Nothobranchius furzeri: one gene and its partner. The protein of the gene in region 1 purifies or fractionates together with the protein of each later gene. This does not show direct contact. Links are inferred from orthologs where the notes say so. Each region holds a gene or a part of one and is shown on either strand. Other genes may lie near its edges.

Evidence for each region. The genes of interacting proteins can lie anywhere in the genome.
Region 2: the proteins of copb1 (region 1) and copz1 fractionate together in Homo sapiens (co-fractionation; 8 studies listed by BioGRID and IntAct, with this or other methods). This does not show direct contact. The link is inferred for Nothobranchius furzeri from reciprocal best matches to the Homo sapiens genes COPB1 and COPZ1.

Annotation. Positions count from the first base shown.
Region 1 is NC_091749.1:61,890,346-61,896,215, reverse strand, and holds the start of copb1 (coatomer subunit beta), read left to right. Parts: upstream 1-1,962; 5' UTR 1,963-2,119; intron 2,120-3,888; 5' UTR 3,889-3,953; coding exon 3,954-4,044; intron 4,045-4,281; coding exon 4,282-4,511; intron 4,512-4,645; coding exon 4,646-4,815; intron 4,816-4,882; coding exon 4,883-4,997; intron 4,998-5,231; coding exon 5,232-5,324; intron 5,325-5,413; coding exon 5,414-5,551; intron 5,552-5,689; coding exon 5,690-5,809; intron 5,810-5,870. UniProt on the Homo sapiens protein: The coatomer is a cytosolic protein complex that binds to dilysine motifs and reversibly associates with Golgi non-clathrin-coated vesicles, which further mediate biosynthetic protein transport from the ER, via the Golgi up to the trans Golgi network.
Region 2 is NC_091755.1:25,754,438-25,760,478, forward strand, and holds the start of copz1 (coatomer subunit zeta-1), read right to left. Parts: upstream 3,351-6,041; 5' UTR 3,238-3,350; coding exon 3,220-3,237; intron 2,805-3,219; coding exon 2,736-2,804; intron 1,300-2,735; coding exon 1,218-1,299; intron 1,139-1,217; coding exon 1,047-1,138; intron 921-1,046; coding exon 865-920; intron 770-864; coding exon 692-769; intron 615-691; coding exon 563-614; intron 466-562; coding exon 427-465; intron 1-426. UniProt on the Homo sapiens protein: The coatomer is a cytosolic protein complex that binds to dilysine motifs and reversibly associates with Golgi non-clathrin-coated vesicles, which further mediate biosynthetic protein transport from the ER, via the Golgi up to the trans Golgi network.

The DNA of each region.
Region 1 (5,870 bases):
AATAAAAGTAACCAGTAAGACAATATATTTTTACTGTATTGTGTCTAAATAAACTTTTAATTTAATTACTTGTAATCTTTCATTTGATTTGATTGATGGACATGTACTGTCTATATATCTGTTTTATTTATGTCAACTGGATGAAAGCACGAGAACTCAATCCTTCAGTTTCTGGCTTTTGAGAATATGGATTTTTTTCCGCCCTCTAGTGGACACAAGTTGTTAAAGCTCATAAATCTGAACAAGACATAACTTATTAGTGCTTCCTGTAGATATTTCAAAATAAAACATACTGTGGCGGTTATTGGCAGTAACATTGAAACTAACAGTCTTTACGTTATTGTGTCACTAATTGCACAATTTCAATTGAATTTATGTAACTGTTAAACACAATGGTTGTGTGGAGTCAAAGTGCTAAACCCAGCTAGTGACAGTGCAACTAACTCATTTAATTTCCTTCTTGCCACAAAAAAATAAATACAATTTTATAGATATGTGTGTGTGTGTGTGTGTGTGTGTGTGTGTGTGTGTGTGTGTGTGTGTGTGTGTGTGTGTGTGTGTGTGTGTGTGTGTGTGTGTGTGTGTGTGTGTGTAGACAACAGATTTGTCAAAGTCAGCTGTTTGATTACCTCACCAGACTTTTTAACACAAGATAGCAGGAAATGTGTATTTGCTGTTTATAAAATTAATAACGACAGCACATAATTCCATTCAGTCAGACCCTGCATTGTGCACACGGCCCACTGGTCAAGAAGAGGCTGCTCTAATGTCATTAGCTGCACCTGTTCCTGCAACAACTAAATGTCTGCTAAAAGGTCAAAGAACTAATGACGCAAAGCAGTCTGGCCATTTGAACACGATGTAAACTGAGATTGCTCTGTGGTTAAATGTGTTAAACAAAATAATCAGTCAGTGTTAAAGGCTTGTAATCTTGATACCACTTCAACACCTCATGCATAGGTTTGGGTACCATTTCATAAAACTCAGAGGGTTAAAAAAACTCTGATTTAAAATATTTTCTATCTTGTTATTTTCTTCCTTTTTGTTTTTAATTCATTCTGCAAAAATCAGCCAGAGCTACTTTTTTATTGTAGTTTTGTGTATATACTGGACTTCTAAGTTTGGTCAACAAAGAAATGTTTTGGTAACTGTCGACATATTGGCAAACCTATTCAACCCGCACCCTTTGAGGTGTTTCATTGAAAATTTGGAGTCGGTTTCATTCATTCAATTTTCTGTGCACCCACGTTGTCACTCAGCTTAGTTTCCACCGGAGGGCGCTGCACGCCACTTTATTCAGTTGGGTTCCTTTCTGGCAGAAGTGTTTAAATGTTTAATTATAGGCTACAGAAGAAACATCGCAAAACAAACAAACAAACAAAAAAAATTCTGAACTGGATTTTTTTTTACCACGAGGAGGAAATCGATGTAATATGTAAAGTATAAATCTTTACTAATGTTAACTCTTCTAGCAGTACTATATTTATTAATTTTTTAGATATTTCGGCTTTTTTATGTTTTTATGGCAAGTATCCTTGATCAACTGCTGTGATCACATTTCATGCTCAGAATTTGTGTTAAAAATGAAATTTGATATACATAGAAATTTTAAATCCGTTTTAAATACAGCCCATAGTTTTAGTGTCATTTGTTTGCATTTAACAGCAAAACAATCACCAATCATATACATCTAGACACGTTGAAACTGACTTTTCTCTCACTGAAAGGGTGCATTAATACTCAATTTCTCTACTTTTATACTTGTGTTTTTATTGTGTGCTTTTGCATTATAAAAAATCGTGTTTGATTAAAGTCTGAGCAAGTGAATAAGTTACAGGTTTTCGACAACATTTTAAGTAAAAAAAAATTCGAATTATTTTAAAAAGAAAATATGCATGTCTGTAAAATGTGGGATTTTGTCCTTTTTTTCGCGCGTTTGAGCCTTCCGGCGCACCGTAGCAGTGATGTGGCTCAGTGAGCAGTCTTCCACGTTACTAGGAAGTACCCGAGAGCCGACGGGGTAGCCCTAACACCAGGAGCTCTTCTAGTTCTTTTACTCATGCTAATATTTGAAGTTGGGAATTGAAGGCGACCGTTTGGGATAAAAGCCGTGTTTTAGGTAAGTCCTGGAGCATATTATTTTCTAACGTGAGTGGATTTATCCAGTTTTTGCTACCAGCGTTAGCAACTATCAAACGTCCTCCATTTCATTGCAAACCTGGATGAAAGCTAAAGCTACTGTTGGCTAACGGTGGCTGTTTAGCTTCCCATTTTATTTCATTATCAGCCGTGTAGACGACAAAACTAGTTTTTATTATTATTTTTTTTTACAATTCTGTCATGTGCCGCCCATCTACGTTTAGACATTCAACGCAAAGGCGATGACATTTGTGCTTAGCTACGTACTAGCTTATTTCGCTATAGCTGTAACAGCTGCTTAATTATCGTTATTTGTTACAAAACTACTGTCAAAATTAAGTGTTTAAATCATGTGGTAAGAGGCATATGATCATAAAAAATAGCATCTACCTGTGTAACTACAGCGATGACAGGTGCCCTGTAACAAACTTTAAATTTCTCATCTTTTTACAGCTGTAGGTTTTGTCATTGCCAGTTTGATCACTACAGCAAAATGTTTAAACTCTCTCATCGACTGTTTAGCAGAAATTTAAAACTTAAAGGCAACAGTCAATGTGTGAAAATCAAGGTTTGTGAATGAAGTCTTGATCAAGATGAAAACATAAATTGCACCACCTCAAGTTGTATATTTCTAATATAAACCTCTCAGTTAGATAGATTTAGCATTGAACCAGCAACCCTCCAAATAAAGCAGCCTGGCCAATTGCTACACCAATTTTAATGAAGGCTATTGATTTAATTCAATGTGTTAGTCTTTTTTGTTCATTAGGTTTCTTGCAGAAACAATGAAAAAAGTTAACTGAGGAGTTTTATACTTTTTTAAAGGTGCATTATATAGAAATTAAGTGTAGTAAAATTTGGTTACTGAAACCACTTAAAACAACTCTGGAGCTTTTTGCCGGCCGTCGTCAAATTATAATTGTCGGCGCTGCAGTATTAGCTCGCAGGAGACACAGCAACCCCACACTCACTGATGGTAAACAGTAGGGATGGACAATGTATTGATATCGGTATCGGCCGATGTTAGTCATTTTTAACATATCGTATCGGTCCGATTAAAAAAAAGAAAAAACGGGCCAATATTATCAACCAATATTTTTTCCATCTTGTCTCCATTTGTTTGCCTGTTTCAGAGGGTGAGGGGGGTGATGTGTGATTGTTTAGTCATGTGAACTGTGAATGAAATCATCTCGGAAGTGTAAATGTGTGTGTTGTGTGTTCATAATAACCTAAATTCAGCTTTAATAATTTTCATTCTATACAAAATCTGCTGATTTTAGAAGCATTGATGTCAGTGTGTCGGTATCTGCAAATATTGGTTTTTGGCCAGAACAGTGATCTTGATATTGGTATTGGCCCAAAAATGTCATATCGGTGCATTACTAGTAAACAGTAGTAACGTCCCTCCTTCCTTTGTTTTGAAAGGAGGAAAACTGACAATTCCTGCAGCCAGCTGGATATGAAACATGTTTCAGTATAACCTTCCGTCCAAAATCACTGAAACTTTAAACTCTTTTGGGATTTTCTCACTGCAAAATTCTCACTATATTCTTACATACTGCACCTTTAACTTCAAAGTGATTGCTTCTCTTATTGATTTGTTTAAATGTGACGAATGTGATGTGTTTTTGTTTCCTCACGTTGTTTCCAGCCTCTGTGTAGATGTCTTTATACTTATTTCCAACATCTTTTGTCATTCAGCATTTGTTTTATCAGCCATTTTTTAACATTTATTTTCCATATTTGCAGGTATTACACTGAAGGGAACTTTACTGGGATTCTTCTAAATCCACCCCGTCCAACAGGCAGCAAAAATGACGGCTGCAGAAAACGTTTGTTACACACTGATCAATGTTCAGTCGGACTCTGAGCCTCCTTCTGAAGTCAGCTTAAAAACAGATCTGGGTAAAATTTCTTCTTGAGATTTTACAAAACGATTTCCTTGTTAACTGTAGTAAAGATGTAAACTTTTGTAATAATTTCTGATTGTGTATAAAGTAATAATTTAACTGGGATCAAAGATTGGATCTATTCAAAACATTTTAAAACTCGTCTTCATGTAAAATGTTAGCTGAAGGCAGGTGTCGTCAGGTAGAGATTTGAACAAATGAAATGTTTTGACATAATTCTAATGTCTTCCAGAAAAGGGAGAGATCAAAGCAAAGACCGAAGCCCTGAAGAAGGTCATAATCATGATCTTGAACGGTGAGAAGTTGCCTGGACTGCTCATGACTATAATTCGCTTCGTGCTGCCACTTCAAGACCACACCATCAAGAAGCTTCTCCTTGTTTTCTGGGAGATTGTTCCTAAGACGACTCCAGATGGCAAGCTGCTTCAGGAGATGATTCTTGTCTGTGATGCTTACAGGAAGGTAAGCTGGGGAATTGTTTTTATTTTCCACATCATTTTCAGCTGGAATAATAGCTGAACAGCTAAAATGATACGTTTGTTCTCAGTACTCTTATTAAAACAAGATTGCAATAATCGTTTCTTTTTTTATTTTAGGACCTTCAGCATCCCAATGAGTTCATCCGCGGCTCCACTCTGCGTTTCCTGTGCAAGCTGAAGGAGTCTGAGCTACTTGAGCCTCTCATGCCAGCGATCCGGGCCTGCCTGGAGCACCGTCACAGCTACGTGCGCAGAAATGCAGTCCTGGCCATCTACACCATCTACAGGTACCGATATTTTCCTGTCTTGTAATCTTCTGCCAGTGCAGATCAATAATCAGCTTTTTTATTTTAGGAACTTTGAGCATCTCATCCCAGACGCTCCAGAATTGATTCATGATTTCCTCGTGAATGAGAAGGACGCCAGCTGTAAGAGAAACGCCTTCATGATGCTGATTCATGCAGATCAGGTTGGTGGACCACTGAGCTTTAGGGGTGGGAGTTTTTAGGCCTGTCGTGATTTGGTTCAATCAGGACTCAGAGGGTTGTAACGCAGTTATGAAACTATTATTACTGAATCTAGATTTTTATTCAGAAACGTTTACATCTGCTTCACGGTGCATTTAAAAATAGATTCTCCTCCCTTAGTCCTTATAACATCCGTCTAACGAATTGTTAGCTCAACTGTGTAACCCCCCCCACAGGATCGCGCTCTGGATTACCTCAGCACATGCATTGACCAGGTTCACACTTTTGGTGACATCTTGCAGCTCGTCATCGTTGAGCTGATTTACAAGGTGAGTGGGCATTTTACTAGACTAAGTCAGGCCTTTAGGGCAAAGTAGCAAACAGATTTAACATTTGAGTTCTTGTGCTCTTTGGCTAGGTTTGCCACGCTAACCCCTCGGAGCGTGCTCGATTTATTCGTTGCATCTATAACCTGCTTCAGTCCTCAAGTCCAGCTGTTAAATATGAGGCTGCTGGTACTCTTGTGACCCTGTCCAGCGCTCCCACCGCCATCAAGGTACAGCTTCACAATTTGATTTGTGGTTTTCATGTGCATCATAAGCCGGTGATACTGATGTTGCACTGCTTTTGAGTAAGTCAGCCATTCCTCTGCTTTAATGAATTCTGTGGTTTTGTTGGGGGGGGGGGACTCCAGGCTGCAGCGCAGTGTTACATCGATTTAATTATTAAAGAGAGCGACAACAACGTGAAGCTGATTGTTCTCGATCGTCTGATTGAACTGAAGGAGCATCCCACTCATGAGCGTGTGCTTCAGGTGGGTTTAGTTACAGGTGTTTAGTTTTTGTGTTGCTTTGTTTTTCAAACATTTTCACTGT
Region 2 (6,041 bases), on another chromosome or scaffold:
CTAGGTCTAATTAATCATTCTAATTGATTGAGTGAAAGCCAAATCATAACCATAAAACAGAGACTGGACACAGATATTAATCATGGCCATAGGAGAAATGGCGATGGGCAGTTTCAGACCTCTTAAATGACAACATTAATCAAGAGGAGCTCACACTCGCTCTCTCTCACACACACTCCGGGAGAGAGAGATGGGCCTGAGTGAAAATGAAAAGACAAGGACCACTACTGGCTATCCACCAAATAATTAGTTATCACACACTCACACACACTATTTGACAACCTGAAGGCGAGTGAGAAAGTAAAAACAGGAGAATGATGCAATAACAGCTTTTACACTCTGAGGTAAAGACTTAACAATCAATAAACTAATGGATCTTTTAAACTTTATTATAAAGACAGAATCAGTGTAGAGGTTTTTTCTTACCTGGGTGACTGTCTGCTCTGTCAGTGGTACATCATCACCCTACAAGAACAAGTATTACAACAGGTTTACAGCGTGCGCACACACACACATCAACACTTTCACACCGTGTTGAACATTTGTGATGAGAAATACTCACTCGAAGAGCCACGCGATGCACAACCTGCTGCGGGTCGCTCTCCAGGACCACGCTGTAAGTAACCCAAAACACCACAGTAAGTATAAAGAAAAAGTTTTTAGTTAAAGATCATTGGTGGTTCAAACTCACCCCCCATCCACTATTTCATCCACAGCCAAGAAGAGTCCCTCCATATTCTCCAACAGAGCTCTCCTCTCAACATTTTTTCTGTAAAATTAAAGAGAAATAACTCAATCCCAATCTGAGAGATTAATGGTTTATAAACATTTGACATTTTGTGCTAAACTGCTACCAAGACATACCTCAACATCTGACTGAGGGAATCAAATAGGCAGTTTAGAACAGCCATGAGCATAAGCTATTGAAAAAGAACAAATTTCAACAAATAGTAATTATGTGAAAATATTAGCAGTTAAAATGTGACTGTTTTATCTGCTATAATTAAGAAAAGGCTGACTTTTCATGAAAGTTCTTTCAGTTTTACCTCATTTTCATGTGAACTTCCGATGACATAAAAGAAGAGATCTATATTGCTCTTGTAGACAACAGTTAGGCCTTCCAGTAATGCAATCTCACCTACAAACAAACAAATAATACCATCACATTTTAGTCATGTACTGAAGCAAACCAATTACCTTTAATATGCTTAGCTTACTGTCTGTTCTGTGTGTTTTGTTGAATATGTTCTTCTCAAACGCCTTTTGCTCCTTCACCGTCGGATATGTGTCGTCATAATACTGCAGACACACCAAGAAGAAAAGTACATTTTAAAACAATTCAAATAAATCTATTATTTTACATTAAAGTATATAAATAATGTGGTACGTAAAATATTCTTCATTAAAATAGGAAACATTAAGTTTCTAAAAGGTCTGACTTCCCTATCGATTCTGTGACACTAACCCCGGGTTTCCACGGGAGCCGTCAGCAGCACGTTACTGCAGCAGCACGTCTTGCTCGCGTAAGCTGCTGCTTGGCCCTTCCCACGAGACGCGAAGCAGCAGGGGAGCAGCTGTCACCGACCGAGCACGAAGTCACACGAGTGACTTCGTCAGTAAACACAACAACAAGCAGGAGAAAACTACAACATGGTTTGTGTTTTATGTTCTGTCCGTTTTATAATCGCCAATACGGACCTGAAAAACAAAGGAGACCACTAGCTGTGTGATAACTTCTCACGGGGACGCACAGTTAGTAACTGTTTTTAAAAGTAAAGCAACCGGAAGGCAGTACGTTCTTTATTCTGAAAATCTCGAGAGCTTCTCCCCATTTCCGCGTTCGATTTCCTGTCTTTCCTTCCCCAAAAATGTCGAACTTGACCCGTTTCAGAGGCGTCGCGCGTAGAAAATAGAACCGGCGCGTAAAGGCCGCGACATGCTGCTCCTGAGACGCGGCCGACTCGCGCTGCTGACGGCTGCCGGCGGCTCCGGTGGAAAAGGTTCTGTTGACCACAGCGGTTCCTATCAGCAGCTATGACGTGCTGCTGCAGTAACGTGCTGCTGACGGCTCCCGTGGAAAGCCGGGGTTAGCCAAACGGTTTCTACTACGGAAGCAAACATATTTAAAACCTAGTAACATAGTTTTACATTTAAAACTTTGCTTCTATGATTAACAATATTTAAAATTATGATATAAAATTACAAGGATTGAATAATGTGAATTATACTGAGTCAGTAAAAATAAACTTGTTTTTAAACAAAACTTTAAGGTGTGGGGGTAGGAGCCATCAGCTTTGACCATTTTTAGCAATAAAAAGTAAATAAGATACATTTTAAAAATGAATACATTAAATTAAAATTAAAATAGTTAACCATATAAATCAGGAACACCTTAAATTTTAAACAGACCAACAGACCAAGGAATAACGCCTGTAATTTGTCTAATTAAATTTCTCTATCTAATTACACAAAAGACTCCTGTGTTTTTTTTTAGTGCTTTGCAATCACCACCTTCAAATACATCTAAAAACTGTTTGTGTACAGCTCAAATCTATTATTATTAAATAGGTCATGAAAAATTTATGAAAATGTATCAGGTGTGTTGAATAATTAACTTATTGCTTTTGGGGGGATCTAATCCAAGTGAAAAGCTGTAATATTGACATTAAATCAGACTTTGCGTGTTTGAAGAAAATATTTAAAGTAAAAAAGATGAATCAGGATTAAAGTCATACCTTGGCATAAAGCCTGTCTCCGTCATTGTCCAGAATCAGAACAGCTTTGACCGTATACAAAGAGGGTTCCTGTGAAGACAGCAGTACAGTGCGTTGTGTTTAAACAAACATAAAGGACTAGAAATTAAGGTTTGTAGTAAGAAGGATAGTTTAAGAAAAATGGCCGTGATTAGGCCATAATAGGATCGTTTAGTCTTAAGACATGTATCAAAAACGGTTGTAAAAATGTTGTCATGACGGTATTCTTGTTCATGTCAGGTGGAGGACATGACACTTCCACATCAGCAACAAACGGACACATACTTCCTCGACGCTAACTAGTTAGCTAACACTGTAGTTAGCTCTCTGTCAAGTTAACTCGGGAGGATGCTAAATAAGCAGCATTTCGCCTAAATTATGAAGACAATTTAAAAAAATGTTTACACTACGAGGTTAAACGCTTCACTAACATTATGCCGTCATGAAAAAATAAATTAGATATTACCAGGATAGGCGAGTCCATTTTCTTTCTTGTTGGCAAACCAGCTACACGGCTAACACTAGCCTACAATCAATTCCAGCATCTTACGTCGTGCGTAAGAGCAAGGATTACGTCACTGTTGACTTTTTTTAAACAAACTTTATTAACAACTTTATAGACAAAACAGTCTTCATCATGTGTGAATTTTTTTTTTACCTGAAAACTGCACAGATTGAACGGAGTTTGAACAACAAAAATTTATAAAATTATAAACTTCAATGTTAAAAAAATTTGGGGAAAAATAAGCACAAAAATAAATGTTATAAAAACATAAAACAAATCTGAATAGCCTTTGTGTTTAAATTGAACATTTGAATATTTTAGATTAAATATTTCAAACTGTGGACAAAAGAAATGACTGACTAATTCTTGACCAGTTTCAGGGACTTTGTAAATGCACTTATGTTATTATTCCAGTTAGTACATTTTGTAATAATCATAAATAAAAATCTGCATTTGTGAATACAGTGTTGGATTATTACAATCAAACTATCAATCAAAAATAAAAACATTTTAATTCAAAATAATAGTACCCAATTTAGTAGCAACTTCGAGTACATCAATGCATCTAATGCAGACTAAAGAGCAACGTGTTTAATGTTTTGATGAACAATATAAAAAAGGATGTGGTTTTACAGAAAAGGGTGCAACCATAGCTGTCCTCTTCTCCATAAATCGAAAAGCTGAAAAGTCACATAACGGAAAATAAAAGAAAGTCACTTTAAAGTCTTAAAATCTTTCATAACATTTACTTTGCAATGATGTGACACAAAATGATAAACGTAAATCCAAATCTGCATTTTATTTTACTGTCACTCAATAAGCACCGTTTAACAAGCTTACTAAAATTGTTTCACCTTTAACATTGTTGACTTTGTTGCTTTTTGTAAATGGAGGATAGTGTTTAAAAAATTAAATGCAATTCTGTAGCTTTGCAACAAAGTTATAAGTTTAGCATTTCAGACTGAACTTTTTTCTTTCATCAAGTTTTCACAAACTTGATTTCTGTAACGTAAAAAGCTAAATATGTTTTTCTAACATCATGATCTTATTTCCTTGCTTTTGTTAAACCAGAAAATTAGAACCTAATCCTTCTTTTTGATGTCCATAGGAACCCTTTCAAGCATCATTAGAACAATATCTAACTAAAACTTTTGTCTTTAAAATTAAAGGTTCCTCCACTCATTAGCTGAAGCTCTGTGTCACACAGCGGTTGCTGCATTGAAAAACATCATACGAGCAATCTCTCCATTTACAACCCGTTTTATGTTTCTCGTTCTCATCAGCATCTTTTTTTACAGGATCCTCCCACATTTAACCACCTCCAATTATCTTACTTCCCACTTCTGGGAAACTTTTGGAAAAGCAGTCTGATGGGGATTTCCCTCTATCTCAATCCACAAATTACATCATTGTGTGGCCTTACAGTTACCTTCTGTTACTCTTGAGTTCCAAAATAATCATGGAAAGAGATCTCTTGGCTTGTAGAGAGGAATTAGAAGATCCAAACTTAGTTTGTACACATTTGTAACAGAACTGTAAAATCATGAAATGTTGCACAATATCACAGCTATTTCAAAATCCCCAAACCGAGGAGGAAGCCGCCCTGAAGTTGGTTCCCAGATGTCACGTCATTTTTCAAACATATATATGAGTTTGAGATGATTTCAGACAGTATAACTGTGGCTGGTGGAGAGGATGAGGGGTTGTGAAGCTGTACAATGAGCTTCTGGCAGCAACCACAGCAGTTAGCAGTTCCCTTTCTCAGAACCAAGAGCTCCTTTTATCAGCATCAAGCAGAGCTTCCGCCAGCCAACATCCTCCTTTCCCTGCCTTCCCTCTCTGCGTGTGCATTACCAACCAGCCTTCGCATGCTATGAACATACATGAGGCACATGCACAAATGCATACACACACACTGACACAAAACATTAGCACACAACTAGATAATAAATTGTCATATGACAGTGTATTTTTCTGTTTGTCTAATGTAATTTTAATAATTTGGGGTTACAGAAAATTCAAAAAATAAATGAAAAATAATCCAGCGATGCAACCTACTGTTGCAAAATGTTATCAAGATCAGAACATCTTGAGATAACCCTGCGTCTTATTGAGACATTCATTAGAATGATGCTGCATGTTCAGGTTCCTCAATTGTCTCACTTTCGGAGCGTTGCTACCGCCATGAAAGCATCAGGAAAACCCAGTTATGATTTACCCTCTGTCTCTTTGCACTGCATGGTGAATGTTGAGCTAGAAAAACATCTTTTTGAACCTTTCAGATCACAACAAAGCTACTTTTTTTTAATCAAACTCATCCACTCTTTTTTTTCTTCTTCCCAGAAGTTGACTCCGAAAGAAAAATCCCTTTTACAATACCAAAACCTTCTGCACAAACCCCATTTTGTCTGGTAGTGAAGTGGTTTTTCCACTCATGTCTGATAAAGTTTTTCTGAAGGATAAAATTAAACCAAATGTGCCATAATTCCTCTATCTTTAAAGGACATAATAAAAGCTTGGAAATGTTCTATCTCTCATGGATGATGTAAACATGAAACAAACCATGTTTTGGGAATGGTAGGCTCAGATTTAACACCGTCTTGTATAGACGTCTGGTTCCATTAGGAGGATTTAAGCCTGTGTGCGTCAACTGTAGGCTGTTGCCAACCAATGTGCTTGCTCTGTTTTTCAAGTAAAGTTGTTTCTAGCCCCAAGGAACACGAGGAATACAACTTCAAGCCAGCGAGCTTTGGGATGGCTGGAAAGCAGAGATGTCAAAGACT